Solanum lycopersicum: one gene and its partners. The protein of the gene in region 3 interacts with the protein of the main gene of each other region in a pairwise test. Links are inferred from orthologs where the notes say so. Each region holds a gene or a part of one and is shown on either strand. Other genes may lie near its edges. The genes, in order: heat stress transcription factor C-1; protein PEP-RELATED DEVELOPMENT ARRESTED 1, chloroplastic; E3 ubiquitin-protein ligase BRE1-like 1.

The links.
Region 1: the proteins of E3 ubiquitin-protein ligase BRE1-like 1 (region 3) and heat stress transcription factor C-1 interact in binary tests that used the Arabidopsis thaliana proteins (3 or more experiments, as listed by UniProt). The link is inferred for Solanum lycopersicum from reciprocal best matches to the Arabidopsis thaliana genes HUB1 and HSFC1.
Region 2: the proteins of E3 ubiquitin-protein ligase BRE1-like 1 (region 3) and protein PEP-RELATED DEVELOPMENT ARRESTED 1, chloroplastic interact in binary tests that used the Arabidopsis thaliana proteins (3 or more experiments, as listed by UniProt). The link is inferred for Solanum lycopersicum from reciprocal best matches to the Arabidopsis thaliana genes HUB1 and AT5G48470.

What each region holds. Positions count from the first base shown.
Region 1 is NC_090811.1:1,914,530-1,918,452, reverse strand, and holds heat stress transcription factor C-1, read right to left. Parts: upstream 2,629-3,923; 5' UTR 2,142-2,628; coding exon 1,938-2,141; intron 1,781-1,937; coding exon 875-1,780; 3' UTR 507-874; downstream 1-506. UniProt on the Arabidopsis thaliana protein: Transcriptional regulator that specifically binds DNA sequence 5'-AGAAnnTTCT-3' known as heat shock promoter elements (HSE).
Region 2 is NC_090808.1:43,952,772-43,956,895, forward strand, and holds the start of protein PEP-RELATED DEVELOPMENT ARRESTED 1, chloroplastic, read left to right. Parts: upstream 1-1,223; 5' UTR 1,224-1,686; coding exon 1,687-2,016; intron 2,017-2,494; coding exon 2,495-2,650; intron 2,651-3,344; coding exon 3,345-3,413; intron 3,414-3,507; coding exon 3,508-3,678; intron 3,679-4,124. UniProt on the Arabidopsis thaliana protein: Plays an essential role in early steps of chloroplast development. May be involved in the redox control of plastid gene expression by maintening the redox state around chloroplast nucleoids.
Region 3 is NC_090810.1:7,003,653-7,007,897, forward strand, and holds the end of E3 ubiquitin-protein ligase BRE1-like 1, read right to left. Parts: intron 2,446-4,245; coding exon 2,308-2,445; intron 2,234-2,307; coding exon 2,031-2,233; intron 1,928-2,030; coding exon 1,762-1,927; intron 975-1,761; coding exon 843-974; 3' UTR 577-842; downstream 1-576. UniProt on the Arabidopsis thaliana protein: E3 ubiquitin-protein ligase that monoubiquitinates H2B to form H2BK143ub1. H2BK143ub1 gives a specific tag for epigenetic transcriptional activation and is also prerequisite for H3K4me and maybe H3K79me.

The DNA of each region.
Region 1 (3,923 bases), on a different chromosome or scaffold from region 3:
TGTAATCTTAATGACTTTGAGAGTTTTGGTTAGGGAAAGAAATTGTGGGTCACAAGCTTGACACGTTATTACTTGTGTGAACCTCCCATGTATTATAAGTGAATTTGGTTGAGGTTGTTTCCCTCTGTATGTTGTACTCTCATATTTATAGTGGATTGCTCATCTCCTTTGTGGACGTAGGACGATTGACCGAACCACGTTAAATCTTTGTGTCTTTTGGTATAATTCTCGTTGTCTTCTTACTCTTGGTCTTTTGAGGTTTCCTTTGCTAGCTTTCGCGTTTACACATGCTTATTTTCGTCCTAACACTTCCTATACTCTTCCTCCGTCGCCGAATCGAACCTAAATCTCTTATTAAGGGTGAAACACTTTCATCGATGCACTACAATTCATCTTGATGTATTGGTTAATCTTATTCCACATAATTAATAAACATACTTATTTTATCACATGATTAATTTATTTACTTAATAAGAAATATGTTATCAACCATTCATACACCGAAATTAAAACTCGAAAAAAAAAGACATGTTAATCAAGAAATAAACCGTACATAATGTTTCGAAAGAAAAAAAAAACAATAACAACAAGGATAATTAAAAAAAGAAAAACTTCACACATAATTATGCCAAAGTTAGCAAAATTATTAAGCAAAGCTACAAAAAAAAAAATGAAACAGTATTCCCTAGCTAATTTTTATTAGTCCTATAGTTAATTGTTAACTTGGGAGGTTTCACTTTTTTTTAGATTACATATTTGTAGAATATTTGCATAATTAAAAGGAAAAATTATAAAAAAAAATGAATTAAAATAATTACAAAAGCTATAATCGAATATAGCTCACATAATTATAAATCATTTTTTTTATACTAAACTAAAATCCACCACCGAATAATGAAAATGGATAAGGCGGTGTACTAGCTTCCTCCGTCGCTGGAGTACCTCCTCCACCACCACGTCCGCCGCCGCCGTAGTCGTAGCCGTAAAAGTTATCCATCGGTGGAGCGGTGAAACCGCCGCTCTCCGATGAGCCAGTTGACAATGTACTAGACATAGTAGGACAACTTCCGTAGGCTTCATTAATCATCATCATCGGCCGGCCACCGATGATGACTTTTTGTTGGTTCATCCACGCCGTGGACGGAGTTTCCGACGACGGCGAGGATTGATAGAACGTATCCTTATCGAAATTCGCGTCAGGAGATCGAATCGACTGTATCGTACCTGGCTCATAAGTTATCATCGGCCGACTACCTAGCCAGGCCGTCGGCGGCGGCGGAGTTCCCGACGACGGTGAGGACTGACAGATCGCATCCTTATCGAAATTTGCGTCGGGTGAGTGAAATGACGATGTTGCCCCTAGTGCATCTTCACTCTTCACTGAGGAACAACTCGTTGAATTCGAAATCACAAGTCTCCGTTTCTTCTCACGATTTGTTAAACTTAGCCTTTTAGATCTCTCTTTCTCCATTAAAATTCTGGGCAGAATCTCAGGATCATCAACAACTTTACACAAAAAAGCCATCATTTGCTGTGGCCTTTTCTCTGTAGCTTCTAATCTTCTAGTCATATTCTCAACTTCATGCTCTAATGCTTTTTGTTCCTGCTTTAATCTAGAAATTTCAGTCAAAATTTCTTCATCTTCACTCTCATCCTGCTTCTGAGAACACGAATTTCTACTGTGCTTTTTCCTCACTATGTTCTTCAACAAATGCGTTTGCCCTCTCAGAAACCATTCATTTGCAAATTCCCACTTATCTGGATCCACTTTTCTGAATCCCTGTAGATTCATAGACACTCGAATCAAAACCAGAAAAATTCAACCTAAATCAATTGATTTCAACTGAAATCCAATCCAATACACATATCAGATTCAAAAACTAACAATTCTAAACATATTCAATTCTGAATATGAATCTGTTACATAATATACTCACATAAGTATTGAGCTGACGAACAAAGCTGGAGAAATTGTTGTGCTTAAAGTAAACAGGCAAAATTCGTTGAGAAAAATCCAAAGGTTCAACAACTATGAAACTGTTATTAGCTGTTCCCCAGGCTATAAGTCCATCAATCTTCGGATCATTCACCATTTGATAAGTTTTCATCACGAACGGAGCAATAATATTGTTAGCCTCCATCCCATATATATATATATCGTTCCGATGTCAACGCGGTGGAGCTCCACTGAGCTGGGCGGAGGTTCACGGTGGCGGAAGGTTAGGGGCAGTGGCAGTCGTGGTGGTTGTAGAGAAGAATGTCAATGTAAAGGATATGGTTATATAGACAACTCTTTTTCGTGTTTGAGTGTATATTAATATTAATATTAAATCATCGCGCATCATAGTAGATAATCTCTCATATTTTTAAAAATAAAAATAAAAATAATTTTAAATTTTGAGGAATTAATTAGAAAAAAATATATTTTAATTTTGCGATACTATAATTTTAGAACAATTATTTTAGAGATATCAAATTTGATCAAAATTTATATATTCAAAAGTCGTATTCTGTAAATATTTTTGTAACGAAAATTATTAGTAGGGCTCTAAGATAGATCGATTCCGACTACCAAGTAGCCTCTAAAAAAGTAATATTAATATTAATTAATAACAAATATGGTACGTGGAGATTATTTGAAGGCTTAGATGATATTTTTATGGTTGTGCTACAAGGGGACCACAATGATGGTCTTTTTAATTTGATTGGTCCACGTCATGACCCTGATTCTTAGATATTTTCATTTTTTTACCACTCGCAGGCTATAGCGCGTGGCGTTTGGACTTGGTGTTCTTACGTGGTCCCCTCGAATCAATGCCACGTTTCTAGTCAGGATTGGATGATTCGAAAAATTGCTTAGCTGGATTTTTTTTAAATAAGGCATTAAATTTAGATAAGACTCGGAGTATAAGTTCACTTAGTACAAACGTTTTAAGGATCAGTGTTGAATGTGTGATGAACTTGAGTCGTAAAATTGTATCAAACATCAACGAGGATACCGAATTTCTGTAAGGTTGCATGTTTGTGACATCTAGGATCAAGAGAGGATGAATTAAAATTAAGAACTGATAAATTTTTAGATTGACAAACTGTAAAATTAGTAATGCATATTATAGGTGAATCTCACAACATAGTGAAAAGTGAAAAGAAAATCAAAAGTTTTAGAAATAAATATCGAAAACACTTTATCAGAATTGTTAATTTTGTTTTCGTACTATTGACTGTATAAGATGATTTATCTACTTGACTAACTAAGTTTAAATACACCTTCAACTTACCAAATGAACATAGCCACGATCTCAAACTCTTATACAAACGTGAAACTTATTATTTTCAAGATTGTTAATAATTTATAATTTACATATAATTTAAGGATATTTACAATATTTTTCGAAAAATTGATAATGGTGTAACTCAAAGAGACAACTACAAACAGTGCCTTAGATTCGGTGCTGGAAATACCGATTCGTTTTCATATTTTTTTTTTATATTTTAATATATTTTTCACAAGATTTTGGCCAGATAATAATAAAGTACTTTTATTTTCTCGTGCACTTGCCGCAGAAAAGCGACACGTGGCATGTAACTTTTTAATACGTTACACCTTCTTATTGGTACAATTATAATTTTTTCACTCCATTTGAAATATTTTTTTTTAAGTTTATTTTAGTTTTAGAACTCTCAAATTAACTACTACTCTTGGTATCGATACAGTTTAATTAATTTTTAGCTTTTTTACTTTTAAAATATTATCTCAAAATATATTGTTAAAATTGTTCTTTAACGAGTGTATTTTTATAAAAATACTTTAATTCTTTTTCATGATGTTAAGAATGTAAAATCTTGTAAAACGTTTAATAGGAATGCTTGTGTAGATTAATTGTATTGTTTGATGGAATATTTTATCATAGTATTGAGGACAT
Region 2 (4,124 bases), on a different chromosome or scaffold from region 3:
CGAAGTATATAAAACGTATTACATAATTATAAGTGTATATGACGATTATATACAATTTGAGTTGTATAAAACGAGAAAGGAGAAAGGCAAAAGAGACTTGGACAGAGAATATACTATTGAGTCGAATTTTATAAAACGAGAAAGAGAGAAATTATATACAATTTGAATTTGTATAAAACGAGAAAGAGAGAAAGACAAAAGAGACTTAGGCAGGAAAGTATTTTTATTTTATAATTGTAAGTGAATAAGACGGAGATATATGTATTTGCATGTGTATATACAATTTTCTCTCGCTTTGTACAATTAGATACACAATTTATACAATTCTATTGTATAAAGCGAGAGAGGCGAGCAAAGGAAGCGAGCGAGAGAGGGAGAGTAGCGAGCGATAATATGAGGGAGAGAGTGACTGACAAAAAGTTTTTTATGAAACACAAATAAATCAAAACGGTAACTACTATATTTATTTTATATTATTAATTTGTCGTTCTATACCATTATCCCCATTAAATATGGATGATTCAAAAAGGTAAAAAATATATTGTAAACAAAAAGGGAATATTATAATAATACATATGCCATCTCACCAGGAAAGATGTATCAAATATTTTTATAAGGAAACAAAAATATTTAGGTGAATTTTTAATTCAAAAAAAAAAAATATGATGGGGATTTACTCAATTAGAATGGAGAAGGTGAAAATGACATGGACGGTCATGGTTTTTAACCATATGATGGTGGATTGACGTATTTTTCATTTCCTTTTTTCTGTTTTATAGATTACATATTGACGATTTTGGTTTGTAGTGTATAGATGACTTTGGAATTAATCATTTTAATATTTTATGAGTCGAGCGTATCACATAGTGCTTATATAGTACTATTTATATATTTTAAGTGATTTACATATCATTACACGATTCACACCAAAAGGACAAAGACGATGTCAAAAGTTATAAGCTTGTAGTTGTGACACGTTATTCAAATATAACAAAACAAGTGATAATAATAATGGAAAATGCTCAAAAGTTCCTCTAAATTATTCGAAATAACTTATATTTATTCTTAAACTATATTTCGGCCCAAAATTATGCTTCTTGTAATATTATTGGGTCAAAATTATCCTTCTTATTAATGAAACTTGTTAAAGGTGAATGCCACATGACATACCATATAAGCTCCCCAATTTCATTCATTTCCACGTAGACTAATAATAAGATTTTAATCCTAATTCTTCTTCTCATTTTTCTATTTCCATTTGAAACCATTTTAATCACCCCTTTCCCCTAATTTCTCGTATTCATTTCGAAAACTTCATATATTTTTATTTTCGCAACTCCATTGTGAAGCTTCACAAGTTTGGCCTATAAGAAGCTTGAAGAGTACCAAACTACTAAGAGAAACTGATGTATGAATTGAAGTTTGGGCCAAGCTTGCAGGCTAGAAACAACCATACTTAGTGCTATGAATTGAAGTTTGGGCCAAGCTTGCAGGCTAGAAACAAACATACTTAGTGCTATCTTCTTAAAAAGGTAATTTTAATTTAAATATGAATTATTTTAAATAGTTTACGAATATTTTGACCTTTTCCATAATAATAACAATGATCTTACCCCTCTCCCGCAATATCTCCATTTCCACCCCCCAAAAGAAAAGATTGTAATTCCGTCGTTGGTCATTTCATCCATGGCATTTCTGTCCATCCCTATCGTTTTCTGTGGAGCTACTCCTGCAAGTCTATCTCGTTACTCGACTCCATCACTATACTATTTTCTTCAACCGGAAATCCCCAATCAGTATTCATTGCAGCTGAAGACATCCTGCAGACTGAACCTTTCGGCATTATGTACGAGTAACGAGGTCGGCGCAGGTTCTTTGGCGGAGGAATTCGGAGCTCAAAATGGAAGAATGGAAAATCATGGACATGAAGTCGGAGATTTTGATACTTCTCAGTATCAAGTTCTTCTTAAAGGTGGTGAACAAGTTACCTCCGTCCTTGAAGAAATGGCCAAGCTAGTATGTTTTCCCTTAATTGTATTATATTTCATTTGTCTTTGTGATGATATACTTTTAAAACTACAATTCTTCTGTGTGTTTGATTACTAGAAAAATTAAACCCTAAACCCTTTAGGTGTTCATTGAATTTGTTCCTGTTTAATTGTTAATCAAGTTAAATATCAGAGGTACTAGGATTTCACAGTCCATGTGAATGTGCTTCTCTTAGGAATTTTATGAAGTCTCTGTATTGTTATCTGAAGGGTGTGGTCTTAATTCTTGATAGCTAGTAACCCTAGAAATGAAGCTTATCCTGTATACTAATTTGTGATGTTGAAATGGATAATGGTATGGATACAAATATGTAAGTAATAAAAAGATAGAATTTTCCCCCTTTTTTTTTCCGTTCAAGTCGCTTATGTGGTTACTTCAGTATGTCAGCTGGAGTAGTTATTCATCTCGTCAATATACTTTGTTGGATACATATTTTATGAAACAGTTGGAAGATATGAAGATGGATGAAGCATCTGAGGAGGTAGCAGTGCAATTGGCTGCACAAGGAGTGATTGGGAAAAGAGTTGATGAAATGGAGTCCGGGTTCATGATGGCCCTTGATTACATGATCCAAACTGCTGACAACGACCAGGATGATAAGGTAGTATTATTAAGGTTCCTGATCTTTTTTTTTTCTTTTTTTTTCCTTGTTATTTTCCCTTAACCAGTTCTTTTGTTCGTGGAATCATATTTCGATTTCATAGTATGCGTGGTTTATACTTCATAGTCCCACCTATCATTATTTTGCCATGAGCAATTGATTTATTAGTTTTCACTGTCGACACATCTGGTACATTTTCTGTGGTAAGATAATTTGTGTGCTGCCATTGGAGATGGATTAGTAACAAATAGTTGTTGTTGATGATATTCATGTAATTTTTGCCTAGTACAAGATGTAATGAAGTAATAGGTGTCTCATTTAGAAGCTTATTGATGCTGATTTCTCTAGTAAATAGTCAGGTTCTCTCATTTTAGCCTTTTCATCGTATGGGTAATTTATTTCTTGATAGAAAAAGTTGCCAAGAGCATCGGGTTGAAGAAGCGATAATTAAAGAATTAAAGGCATTAAAGGGAACCTTCTCTATAATCAATTTTCCTTGATTGTTGGCTAGACTGAATGTTATTTGATTAGATATCAAGCTGGATATCTGATCCATATTATAGTCTTTTTATATATATTATATATATATTTCCATTTTGTGCCCAGTTCATGTCCATTTGATTCCTGTAGAGTACTGCATTGATACAAGAGGTTTTCTGGGTGGGTATGTGATTAACAAAGTTGTTTCTTTTAGCGCAAATCACTCTTGGAAGTTATCAAGGAGACTGTATTATCCCATCTTACCAAGAAGTGCCCCCCTCATGTGAGTATGCTAGTATGCTGAATGACTACATTATTAGCAGCATTGATGCTCTAGTCTTTGATCTGACATTGAATTGGATTTGTATGTTTTCTAGGTTCAAGTCATAGGCCTGCTCTGTAGAACTCCTCAAAAAGAAAGCAGACATGAATTGCTCAGGCGAGTTGCTGCTGGTGGTGGAGTATTTCAAAGTGAGAATGGGACAAAAGTCCATCTTCCTGGGGCAAATTTGAATGATATAGCTAACCAAGCGGATGATATTCTGGAGGTAGGCTCTTAATGTATATGCATAGTCAGGAGACTAACCAGTTTTTGGTATTTAAGTCTAAAATAATTTGTTTTGCATCAATTTCATTTGGCTGCGGGTCCCTTAGGGTGCAGGTTATTAGAAACCACAAACTTTACATGGTATGGAACATCTGGTTTGTAGAGACCATAAGGCACCACACTGTGCATTATGTAACACATTTTGGAAAATGGTTAGATCAATATTTTCATCTATTGATGTTAAAACTTCTGTTCAGCCATCTTGGTCAGACAATTTGTAGTGTTGATGCTGGTTATATGTAAGCTGTAAGAAACTTGTGCTCAATGCTGAATTCATTATTTATTTTTGTTCTCAAGTTACTGAAATATTAATTTTTTATAAAAATGAAGAAAAAAAGGCAAGTCATGGTAATGTCAAGTTTTAACAGATGCCATCTTACTTGGTTA
Region 3 (4,245 bases):
CAAACTGAGCACTTGCAAAGATGCACGACAAGGTAGTAACCAAAAAATACCCAAATTTAAAATCTTCCTTATAGTTGAACTAAGAGGAAACAAACAAACTCAATCACAACCGCTACAGCAACACAGGACATAATCAAAGATCTCGGGTTCGAGACCCAGGATAATGAAATAAGGGGTCGTTTGGATAGTAGTAATAGTAATGTACGAACTAATTATGCAAGACTTAGTTGGTCCATCTTTTACTTGGCATAAAATAATGCATAAACCCCCTCATGAATTATACATGTATTGGTTCGTGTGCTATATTCTATACATAGCAACTAAAATGCTACAGAACATGGTATTAGTTATGCTAGTTTTAATACATGAGTTTACTTCCTAACCAGCAACTAAAAATTGTGGTTTAAAAAAAAATTATGTTCACCTTTTCAGGCAATTGAGTGAGTATGGGGGAAAACCTATATACTAGGAGAAGCGATGGAGGGGGCGACAACGGGGTGAACAAACTCTATTTGAGGCAATGGATTGGGACTTAATAACAAGGCAATAAACAATAGAACTCAGCAACCAAAGATGTGAACTTAAGTGCATCCACTTAAATAAAGGAAAGGTTAATGAACAAGATCAACAACCTTGGACACGCACCAGCAAAAGATTAACAAAATCATTAACCTTTGGACTAGCACCAGCAAATCCATGCAGACTATCCACTTTCAACCACCAGAATTTTTTTCTGTTTTATGTTATTTCCTGCATAAATATATGCATAGACCATAAGTGAACGACAACCTTGCTTCACAACAGTGACATAATAAAAGGCCTAGACATCCTCATGTTTCTGATCAGATATAAACGGCCTTGACATCATTTGCTCCAAAGCTTGCAGAGCAGACAGGACATTTGCGGTGACGAGTCTCCACAATTTTTTGGATACACGGATTACAAAAGAGATGGTAACATTTTGCGAGGACAACCTGTAATGTAATAAAGAAAACTTAGCTCTCAGAGTGAAATAGGTATCAGATAAAGAGTCTAGCAAAGTTAAATTCTTTCCTCACTAAGGACACAATTACATGTTTGGAGAAAACTAGTTGAACCCAAGGGTGTGGCCTGGTGGTCAATGAAGCGGGTGCAAACCAATCCCGAAAAAAAAAACATAGGCATTATCTTTGTCATGTCTAAACAATAATAAATCTTTATAGGTAATGTTACCTAGTACCTGTTCTAGTGGGAAGTAGCATACCGATGGGATAGTCGAGGTATGAACAAACTGACCTGGACTCCATCGCTATCAAAAAAATATTTGGAGAATACTAGTTCTATTACCACCATGGCAAAAATTAAACCAACCACTGTAACAAGTTAGCTGTCAGGATCTCTTAGAATCTCACCAGATGGTGGACGTAAGCATCACTGTGCTTATTCACATCAGACAAGATCATGTAACAAATTAACACATGTTTGGTTAAATGTACTATTTTTTTGGTAAGGAGGTACTATTCGGTCTCACTACTGGACACTGGTTGTTCCCTAATTCAGAACCATGGATCTCATAACTGAAGAATCTCTTGGATATCGCCATACTATTATCTCAATAACCAATCTAAAGTAAGAACGCAATCTTTTCATCCCATCTGCTGCCAGAATCACAAACTTGCAACAGTGGATCCTACATCAGATGTGACATTCTATAGGTACTTTCAACTTCACCAAACTGATGCTGATCAACCAAATAAATAAGGAAAGGTCAGTCGGTCCAACCTCTTTGCGCCTATCAAAGCAAATACTACAATTGAGTATTTCCTTGTATTCCCTTAGTTTTTGCTGAAGCTTCTCAATAACAGATGACCCTTCAATGTGTGATCTCAAACGTGAAGTCTTTCTCCTCAGAGCTTCTACATCCTCCTCTGCTCTTTTTCTCTCAAACCTAGCCAAGTAAAGCGAAGATCATATAATAAAGGAACATATGAGAGTATTGGTTTAAGATAAATTCATAATGGGTATACAGACAAAGGTTAACCTTCAGTTACCTTTCTTTCTCTAGTTCTATCTGCAACTGTGCAAGATCAACTCGAACTTCGTCGATCTTGGATTGCCATTCTTCCAGCGTCTCCCGCAATTGCTGGGAAGATTTTCTTACATCTAAAAACCGTTTTTGGGTGTTCTCTAAAGCAAGAGAATTCTGACCCCTATCTTCAGCAAGCTTCTGGATCAAGTCTGAGCATCCCCTCAACTGAAAGGAAATACATACACTTAAAGTCTGGAGAAATATAAACATTTGGCACTTCAGAGAAGATATGCAATTACCTGGTCATCAATTTTGGCAGCTTTCATTTCATAGGAACTGACCATTGTATTGGCATCTTCAACTGCTCTCTCTGTGATTTGACTTTCCCAAGCCAAACAATCCCGCTGTTGTCTTGCCCGTACTCCTTCTAAAACAAGCTGTAGAACAGGAAATAAACTAACCACAGTGTACAACATTGGCAGCAGTAGAAACCTGAGACACTAGAAATGCACAGACAGAACGTTTTTTGGAGTACTCTTGAAGCGATGTAAGGAAATTTGTGGATGCGAAACTCTAAAAACCCAACATATCCATGTAAAGCTACAGAAATGTGTCTAAAGTAGTCCTATAAAAGGAACTAATTCTGCAAACATCTTAACCATGAGGGAAAAAAAGAATAAAACAGGCATATAATGCACAACACAATGCTGGAATCTCCCCGGCATCAAAGCAGTGCGGGACAAATTAATGCCACATTCATTGTCAGTCTTACTGAGAATGGATAACAATGAGATTCAATCAAATAAAGCTTAAGAAAAGCAAACCAGGTGCTATTTTTTAAAAGTGGTAATACTGGCCAATCCACTACCGATTAGCCAAGTGTTTACCCTCCCCTGTTCAAAGATAAGTTGGGGTCATGGAAATAAGATCTAACAACAGCTACAAGGAGGAAAAATATTTACACAGATTAGTGCATGAAAATCTAGAAAAGAAAACCCTAACAGGATAAGTTTAAAAATGTAATGCATACAGAAAGGTTGAAAACAAGAAGGCATTCTGAATTAAGAACAAAAAAACAATTAAACAAATAACCCAAGTTGTAGAGTCAGACCAGAACTACCATGACTGAATGGAAAAAAAAGAAAAAAAAAAGAATAATCGCCACAGATAAGGGGGAAATCAATTGAACACAAGTTGCTGTAAATGTCCACGACTTCAGCATTGTCAAAGGCTCGCTTTACACACACTTAAGCCTTGAGGCTATGTGCAAAGTAGTTGCCCGTGCCTCAATTGAGGCCTCAAGGCACTAAAGCATATGCTTTTTCGCCTATAAGTTTTCTTGAAGAGATTTGGCAATAAAGAATAAATATTTCACCTAATATGATATTTTATATTATTTTGTCTAGATAACTGTTTGTTTGCATCTAGAGCCTTTCTTTCTTAAGGGGCTAGCACTTCGTCTGCACTGGCTCTAGAAACCCACTATAATTTTTATCCTTTTCACCTTTGATGAAACTGCTTATTACTCTTGACCATATGTATACACATTTTTTTTACTTATTTTTATTACCCTTTCTTCATTAATGCTCTCACTCTATATTTGTGCTTTGAACACCAACTGACCTCGACTTTTTCTTTCACTCTACATCTTTGACCTTTGAGAACTTGTAATGAGATAATGTGTTGTTCACTGCCAGGTCTTCTACCAACTCTTCAGGCTCCTTGCTATAGTTGTGAGGTAGTCAGTGAGGTTACATGCAATTTGGTTGAAACTTGAAAGCATTCTTACAGTAAAAGATTTTCCAAACTTCTTAACGGTTAAACTACTTTCACTCATTGTGGTTTAGATGTATAATTCTAAGTACTTTTCCCCAAATAAATGTTTATAAGAGAAAAATGGCTGAAGAAAGATGGCCATGGAATTAGCAGCAACTAAATGAGTTTACTGAAAACAAATCCGAATCTGTAAAATTAGATGCAGTAACAAAGTTGCAATGGAATTATTATTTTTTTTAAGCTCGTAACTAGTTACATCATTTTTTCTTAATGACCGTGGTGTCTAGGCCAGTTTTCGCACCTATCGACGAAGGCTGGGACAGATGGAAAGAATCACCTAGTGTTTTTTGTCTCCACTGAGTTTTGAACCTAAGACCTCAAGGTTCTCAACCACTTCATTAACCACTAGGTCACAACCTTGGGTGCAGTTACATCAGAAATATTATTACCCTTAAACAATG